Linked DNA regions of Neurospora crassa OR74A. The protein of the gene in region 1 purifies or fractionates together with the protein of each later gene. This does not show direct contact. Links are inferred from orthologs where the notes say so. Each region holds a gene or a part of one and is shown in the gene's direction. Other genes may lie near its edges. The genes, in order: rho-1 and rdi-1.

Region 1 (4,475 bases):
AACCGACGGGTAGGACTTTGGGAACCATCATGGGGGTGGTAGGACTTGTAATTTGGCATCTAACACCGTGGCTGACTGACTGACTGACTGTTGACGGCTGACGGATGACGGGTGGCAGCTGACGCTTCCTTCTCCAGCCTCCCTCTCTCCTATCCCGTTTCGTCATCCACCAAGTCAACAAGCTCACGTCAATGCCATGGCAACCGAGATGTTCGCAATTCAAGAGACTGGTCTGCTATCTAGATGCGGCTGGGCACCGACACTTTGCTGACCGCTCCGTCTCTTGGTATATACTGTGTAGTGTATCGACAGCCGAGAGGAAATGGGGTATAGTGTGGTGTACATACTGCGTATGCCAACAAGACAGGAGCTTCCATGTTTTTAATATCATGTCCCGTCCTTCCTCCCACCCCATCCCCTTCCTCCATGTTCACTACTAGACTGTCAAGAGAGTCCTGGACCCTGATAATGGATGGCTGAGAACAAAGCCCAGAGCTATCAGCAAATTACTACCTATGTAGTGTACACTAGGGACACCCAAAATAGGCGACCGGAAGGAAGAGGCCCATGGCGCACTGTGCCTGTTCCTGTACCTTTTGGCGTTGGTTCAGGGGTTCTGGGCAGGCAGTCTGGAGATTAGCAGTTATCGCCGCCGCCCACTGGACCATCTTTGCTGCTGGAGACTCGCCTCGCCTGCCTTCGCTCGCTCGCAAAGCTTCCACTTCCTCTGAGTACACTACTAAAATCCTGGGGGGCCACGGCAGCAGCGCGTGCTTTCCCCCTTTGATCGACAGCCAGCCGAGCCAGCGCAGCGTGTCGGGTGTCGGATTACTGCGGTATGGATGTCTAAAAGTGGTTCGAGTGGTAATTTGGCCCGTCCCCACCGTGCACTTTTGCGCTTGTCATCAAAGTTGAAGAAACAAAAAAAAAAAAAAAGGTCGAGAGTCATGTTCGGGAGATGGCCTTATTAGCCTTATGCAGCAAGTCCGGGGTAGCGAAAAAGGGGAACAGGAAGGAACATGACGACGACGATTTCAAGGTCGGTCCACTATTAATATCACCAAAATCAGCTCTCTTTTCGCGTGCAAATAGCTGAATTACGGTAATGGAGGTGACGGTGTTAATTGTAGAAGAGGACCGGTACGTACCGCTTGCTGAGGATTCGGGCCACTCACAAGTCACATCAAGCCAGCACCTCCCTTGTCTGGCCCTTTGCTCTTGGCTCGTCTCGCACCCCTACCGGCTCCTGTACAAGTGATGGGGTATTCCGACACAAAATGCAGTATCTAGGTAGGGACCTAGTGTGTTGGATGAAAAATTAGGTCGGTAGGTGTCGTCTGCCTTCCTCTTACCACACAGTACCTGTAGCCTCCAGGCTGCGACTGCTGCCAGATGGGACTGTGTGAACCCGACTGAGTGACTGCCTGTGCCTGGACAGCCCGCCCGTTCCCTGGGGCTTCTCTGGGGCTACCCACTGCCTCGCTCACCTCACCACACACGGCAGCACCCACTGCCCTCCCAGCCCAGTCTGACTGCCCGGCCCTGGTTCGCTGGCTAAGGTTTCCACCCTCTTCCAACCTTGCCCGTGGGAGTCCTGCACCTGGCTATCTGGTGGTCCCCCCGTCCCCGTTCCCCGTCTCCGTCTCCGTCACAACACAACTCACAACTTGAACAGGTTAGCACACCACCAGCGGCCACTACCTACCTACCTACCACCACCACCGTCCATCCTTCAACAACCACCCAACACCCCCATCTCCATTTTCCTTCCCTTTTCCATTTTGCATCTTTTATCGACCAAATCCAGGCCGCGTGATACCCTCTCCCGTCCTTTGCATACAACCCGTCGACAACGAACAAAGCACCGTCCGTCGACATCACTCAACTCAACTAAACAACTTAATCTCTCCTCCCCTATTCACACAACCACCAAACCGACGCCATGTCTGCTGAACTCCGCCGAAAGCTCGTCATCGTTGGCGATGGTGCCTGCGGCAAGACCTGTTTGTTGATGTATGTCCATTTCCCCTATCCACATCCAAGAGATTGATGCTGCTCTTATAAGGCGCGCGTCGTCGTCGTTGTCGTCGTCGTCGTCGTCACCGCCGCTCTCCCCCCATCACAACCTTTTTGCTAACCGAATTTCCAGCGTCTTCTCCAAGGGAACCTTCCCCGAGGTAAGTCAGGCACTTGTCTGTCGGGACTGAGACGTCCATCTACACACCTGCCCTCGACCGTCTGTTCGCTACACCGCCCCAACCGCCTGACGAAACACGCATCTTCCTGCCAATTCCCGCGTCTCGCCTCCCCCCCCGAACAGGCTACATCCATCTCCTCAGCCCGATGAACCATCAAGCCATCAAATTCGAAACACCCGCCCTGTCGCCATCATATCCGCATCCGAATAAGCGCTGCTCAGCCAGCTAACTCTCTGCGCCCAGGTCTACGTCCCTACCGTTTTCGAGAACTACGTCGCCGATGTCGAGGTTGATGGCAGACACGTCGAGCTCGCGCTATGGGATACGGCTGGTCAGGAGGATTATGACCGTCTCCGTCCCCTGTCCTACCCCGACTCTCACGTCGTCTTGATCTGCTTCGCCATCGACTCTCCCGATTCGCTCGACAACGTTTCCGAGAAGGTCAGTATCCCGCCTGCTTACTTGGCGCGCCCTTGTCTTTGAGGCTACAATTCGCTAACAATCAAAAACAGTGGCACTCTGAGGTTCTTCACTTCTGCCGTGACGTTCCAATCATCCTCGTTGGCTGCAAGAAGGATTTGCGCCACGACCCCAAGACCATTGAGGAGCTCCGCAAGACCAGCCAGAAGCCCGTTTCCCCCGAAGAGGTACGTGAGGCTGAGACATTGGCGGCTGATGATGCCCCTTTTGTTTCCAAGTGCTTTCCCTCCGCTTGCTCGGGAATGTATGCTAACGCGCTCATCAACAGGGTGAGGCTCTGAGGAAGAGGATCAACGCCCACAAGTACCTCGAGTGCTCGGCCAAGACCAACGAGGGTGTCCGTGAGGTGTTCGAGAACGCGACAAGAGCCGCCCTTCTCAAGAAGACAAAGACGAAGAGGGGCCTCTGCAAGAGCTCGGTCTAAACAAACCCACAGCTCTTTAGAGAGATGCTTTTATTTCTACCGCACGACGAACAACATCATCTGCACCAAGCCCTCCCCGGATAGCCTCGCAACATGTAATCAAGCAACGGTTTTCAAAGCGAAAGATGATCATCACCTTAGTTGATAATTCTCTGCCCATGACGCCGTCAATGCTGCTACCGAGCGGATAATATTTCACAGAGAGAAGAAGAAAGGGGTGTGGAGAGCGCAAATGGGGAGGGGCTTGGGATTTCGGGGATACTTATGGGCCTTACTACTCGATATTTAGGGAGGATAACTGGGTCTGGACTCCTTTCCACTATTTCTGTGTGTGTGTGTGGTCGGCGTGGACGGGTGCGTGGCTTGTGTTCATGTATACACAAACGGAGGACACCTGAGGGCGGTAAAGGGAAAGAGAAAGACTGGAGAAAGGAGTTTTGCGGTTCAATATTTCTTGTTTCTTCTGGAATCACATGCCGCGTCTCTGGCCCCCCTTACCTGTCTCCTTTATTTCTCTTTCTCTGTCACTGCCCGTGTGCGTCTGTCTCTTATCTCTCTCTCTGTGTCTACCTGTCTGTTATTAATCTCTAGTTTTATCGCGTTCTTGTTTATCTGTCTCCGTCTGCTGCTGCCGCTGCATGGTTCAAATTGGGATTTTGAGATTGAATGTTCCGTATAGTTTGGGCGATCGGCATGGCGAGGCCGCCGAATGTCCCTGCTACTTCCATAGACCGTTGACGACAATTGCTGTTACCTACTGTACATCCTCAGACCATTCATTGCCCGTCCCCTCTTGCAATACTCATGTCAACCACTGACACGAGCACAGACTTCTTCTACGTCAGTCAGCCCGTTTGTCTACTTAGTCTTTGAATCCGAAGTTCAGTAATCATCACGCTTTGCCGACTATGCAATCCGACGGGAGAGGCCGCCGCCAGCTCCAGACCCAAACGTGAAACAGTTGATTGAATGAAGGACGTCATGTCTATCAAGGGTAAACCTAGTTAATGTTCCCGAGTCATCACACTCAGCGCGTGAGGTATGCCAGAAAGGCATGATTGGTCTTGACAGCCAACGAAGCTAACACTTGCAAGTAAGCTATGATGTGCCATACATTATACACTTTGCATCTCGAACACTCTCTGGGACTTCTTCATCATAGCCAACAGAGGGGGGAAAGAAGCGGTAAACATAACACTTTCAAAAGAATATATATAAATATATATACGCTCCCCGCTGTCAATTCCTTTCAGTTCTTCAGTTCCTTGATAACCTACTCGACGCAGGAGGTAAATATTCATTCAGGTATCTAGCTCTAGCTCTGGGTAGGAGGCAAGGTAAGGTTTGGTACCTCTAGTCAAGTCAACCAACCA
Region 2 (4,273 bases), on another chromosome or scaffold:
CGGCGAATGGATGTCAACGAAGTTGACACAAGGCCTCCTGATAAGATACCATACGGGTCTGCTGGACTGACGCTGGCCTTGACCGACGTGAGCGAGTGGGGAGGGGAATGGCACACCAACAACTGAAGTCAAAGACTGGCCACATTTGGTGATGCATAGGTAGGTACGCACACAGAACTGTCTGTCAACCCGTCATCCCGTCCCAGGAACCCGTCAACCCGTCAATCTGGGGTAGCCAAGACCTCTACACCACCAGAACCATCATGCTCACCAGCGATCACCAAGCAGAGCAGAGGCGTCCTCAAGCGTTTCACACCGGGATGCTTCAACGGCTTGTCTCATGTTGGATCAAGCTCCATTCCGTGCTAACAGTTGTAAGACAACCGGCAGAGAACGGGTCTCAGCCGCTGAGGAGAAGTAAACGAACGACGAAAAGGCTGAAGGGCGGTGATATCGCGCTCTTCCCAGCTAGCCGAAGGTACCTATAAATCAAAATAACCGGAAGGCTGGCCGTTCCGTGATCTGACATGCCGGGACTCAACGGTGAAGAGAGCCCCCCCAGTATCTCGAGCGGACGGGTCCCTGGCGGGGAAAGAAGGAGCGGTGAACGACCCAAAAAAAGGCCCCCAATGATCGGAATCGGCCCTCTCAGGTCTTGGCACCATCGCTCACCACCATCGCTACACTCTCTCCAAGCTCTGAACCCCTTTTTTCCTTTCCTCTCCAGGGGCGGTGACAACAGAGACACTTGTTGTTCACATCGCCAGTTTCGTGCAACCACTCGACTTGTCCAAGTCCATCAGATCACCGCCGTAGCTTGAACACTAGAGGTAATCCACTAGGCAGCTCCCTATTGCCATGTACTGTACGTAGGTAGGTAGGTACCTCTACCAGAGTCTCGAGGCTCGAGGAGAGAAGTAGGTGAGCTACCTACTACAAGGCCCGTATAATTCACAGCATCAACGGGCAAGGCACGCAGTCAAGAGGCACAGAAGATGGAAGGAAACATCAACAGCCAGCAGCCCAATGGATGAGGGGGATTCCAGACTTGATATGTTCTGCACGCGGGAACCAGGGAGGACAGGTTCGAGGTCGACGGCGTTCCAGATGGCCCATGTTTATCCAATGATGGGCCCGTCTTGGTGTTGCTCTCGCGTCGAGACCCCCAACCGCCAGATGCAGCTCCCCCTTGGCCCCACCAGCTGTAAGAGCTGTGGCCAAAGAGAAGACATCCTGAAAGAGTGCCGAGCCCCTCCATCCAGAATTGCTGCCAGTCAGTTCCATCGCCGTCTCTCTTCAGTTGACTCTGGGCTCAGCCGCTCTCCATTGTGAGTGGTTCCTGGCGACTCGCAGTGAACGTGGGTGGACAATCTGGAACTGTGTGGGTGTCGGTTGGGAGTGCACAGTGCTCCCGTCGCCCAAATAAATAAGCTCCGGCCTCGCTTTGTCCCGTCACCCCTCCAAAACCTTCCATCAGATCGGCGCCGTAAATACCATCATAGCTTCCGTCGTCGTCGACTTCTTCTCTTCTCCCGTCCTGTCTTTCTTGACTCTTCATTGCAACTTTGTATCCTCCATATCCCGACGGATTTTCATCATCTATTTTAATCAACAACCACTACCCCAATAATTCACAATGGCCGGCGGACACGACGAAGATCTGATGCCCGAGGACAACTCGGGCTACAAGCTCTCTCAGCCCAAGCAGTCCTTGGCTGAGTACCACAAGATGGGTATGTTCCAACCTTTGTCTTTACTGTTTGTTTTCTTTTCAGCATCGCATGCGTCTTATTTCACCCGTATTTTCTCTGCGGCATCGTGCGGATCGTGGGACTTTTTTGGAAAAAGGGGGAACTGCGGGTGCGGTGACGACATGATGGTGACCCCTTTCACCGCCCATGCTTCACGGCGCAAAGGACTATGGCAACGCCTCACAACATCGCAACTTTCCATGCCAAAACTTTGGCAAGATCACGACCACTCTAAGCGCAAAGTAAAGCTTGCGTGGGTTTCCCGTGGCAGAAACCTACCTCTGCAATTGTTGACTTGGCGGTCAAGTTAAGCCAAAGGTCGTCGCAGACGTTCACAACTTTCAACAGGGCATGCCCCTGGTTTGAAGATGAGGGGCGCGAGAGCTATCGCGACATAGCCCATCTTAGCAGACCCGAAGACCACAGCACCGTCATTCACACAACACTCAACCGCATTCAACCACACACACACACACATATATATATATCATGATGCCAAAGAAAAGAGGTACCATTCATGAAAAGAAGAGCCACCATGACTAACCCTTCCCCCTAGACGAGAACGACGAGTCCCTCAAGCGCTACAAGGAGTCCCTCGGCCTCGGCGGCGGCAACGACCTGTCCGACCCCAACGACCCGCGCGTGTGCATCATCCACTCGCTCTCCATGGAGTCTCCCGGCCGGGAGCCCGTCGTGATCGACCTGTCTACGCCCGGGTCGCTGGAGGACCTCAAGAAGAAGCCCTTCACCATCAAGGAGGGTGCCAAGTTCACCATGAAGGCCCAGTTCAAGGTGCAGCACGAAATTTTGAGCGGCTTGCACTACGTCCAGACGGTCAAGCGCGGCAAGATCAGGATCCCCGGTGGCAAGACGAGCGAGATGATTGGCAGTTATGCGCCCAACACGGATAAGAATCCCATGTACACCAAGACTTGTGAGTTCTTTTTTCTTCTTCCTCTCCTTCTTTGTGACAGAAATCCTGCTGTCCGTTTGTTTGTCCTTGTGAATGGGAATAGGGGGCGGAAATTTGCTGACCGAGTTTACGAAACGATTTAGTCGCCGAGGAGGAGGCCCCCACTGGCATGCTCGCCCGTGGCAACTACAACGCCGTCTCTCGCTTCGTCGACGACGATGGCAAGACCCATCTCGAGTTCGAGTGGAGCTTCGATATTGCCAAGGACTGGTAAACTACTTTCGGGTTTAGATCGCCGTCATCGTCGTCGTCTAGTTTCTCGCCCTATAAGCTAGCCGGTCACTCAGTCCAGCTAGTCAGCCGCATCGGATACACACACACATACACTTCGCTGTTGGCATACTGTGACGAACTGCTGTGCCCTCGGTTGATTTCGTGGGCAAAGAGGGATGCGCCATTCGCGAACGAGGAGCGAACTCGATAGAGGATGAAGATGGAATTAATCATGCTGAGTGGGGAAAGAAGACTAAACACGCGCTTCCTCCCTGTTTCGAAGATCACGAAACAGGGAGAAAGATACACTACACTACCGGAACTCGACAAGGGAAAGGAAGGTAGAAACACACCGACGTCTGTTTCACCTTATCTAGGTATGGGACTGGAAAGGCAAGCGAACGGAACGGAACGGAATCTGGGCCACAGGATGGTTTGGTCGTTTAGGGTATACGCCCCCCTTTCCGGGCAGGAGGGAAGGGGAAGAGGAGAAAACTTCCTTACATTTATCTACATACATACACATCATCTTATCTTAGTAGTATAAACACACATAACTCTCACATACGCAATTCAGGTCTTGCGGTTTCTCTTATCTGCTATGAAGAAGATCGGGAGGGCTTACTTGTTAGTAGAGGAGAAGAAAAAAAAAAAACTGTCCCGAGTACCTCTATCATTCATGCCTGCTTCTAATCTATGACATTGCGGTCGCTAGCGTGGGTATATGCAGTGTATTCACACTCTTTGGTGCGAACAAGTTCAAGCCAAGACCATCCGCAACGCTCATGCTCTCTGTTCCCGTCCTCTATCCCCATTCGCCCCGAGTGCGCACCATGTAGGGGGGTTTCCCGTCTCTCGCCGACTATTACAAAAAGTAATCCGGCAATGCGCCCCCCTCCGCCGACTTGTCCTGATTCATCTGCTGATCCTTAACGGCGTCGTTCTCAGGAGCGGCCGCAAACACATTGAAGAAGCGCTCTCCAGTATCGCTGACCTCCAAGACACTTGCCATGTTTCCGCACCGGTAGCAGTAGTTGGGCGCGCTCCATACCGTGCTCAGCCGGTCGTCGTATAGCACCTGATACCCTTCCTGACAGAGCTGGTGCGCGCGCAGAATGTGGTTCATGTTGTTCACCGCCAGGAACTTCTTAACCACCTGCGCTCCGAAAGTGTAGCCAGCGCCGCGGGGTGATAAACTGAACTCGTCGCGGTCGGGATCGGGATCGGACCATACTAGGTCGGCCATGGGGCCTTCGTGGGGAATCTCGCGGAAGCGGTCGATTACTTTAATTTGGTCGATAGAGTGAATCGAAGGGGAGAGACCTGGCGCGGAAGA

What was found.
Region 2: the proteins of rho-1 (region 1) and rdi-1 purify together in Saccharomyces cerevisiae (affinity purification with western blotting; 3 studies listed by BioGRID, with this or other methods). This does not show direct contact. The link is inferred for Neurospora crassa OR74A from reciprocal best matches to the Saccharomyces cerevisiae genes RHO1 and RDI1.

Annotation. Positions count from the first base shown.
Region 1 is NC_026502.1:3,340,720-3,345,194, forward strand, and holds rho-1 (rho-type GTPase), read left to right. Parts: upstream 1-1,480; 5' UTR 1,481-1,942; coding exon 1,943-2,013; intron 2,014-2,149; coding exon 2,150-2,177; intron 2,178-2,441; coding exon 2,442-2,639; intron 2,640-2,710; coding exon 2,711-2,845; intron 2,846-2,946; coding exon 2,947-3,102; 3' UTR 3,103-3,981; downstream 3,982-4,475. UniProt on the Saccharomyces cerevisiae protein: Acts as a central regulator in the cell wall integrity signaling pathway, which is regulated by the cell cycle and in response to various types of cell wall stress.
Region 2 is NC_026504.1:1,633,557-1,637,829, forward strand, and holds rdi-1 (rho-gdp dissociation inhibitor), read left to right. Parts: upstream 1-1,273; 5' UTR 1,274-1,636; coding exon 1,637-1,733; intron 1,734-2,307; coding exon 2,308-2,685; intron 2,686-2,807; coding exon 2,808-2,938; 3' UTR 2,939-3,603; downstream 3,604-4,273. Other genes in the region: serine/threonine-protein phosphatase PP2A catalytic subunit, read right to left, coding at 3,803-4,260. UniProt on the Saccharomyces cerevisiae protein: Regulates the GDP/GTP exchange reaction of the Rho proteins by inhibiting the dissociation of GDP from them, and the subsequent binding of GTP to them.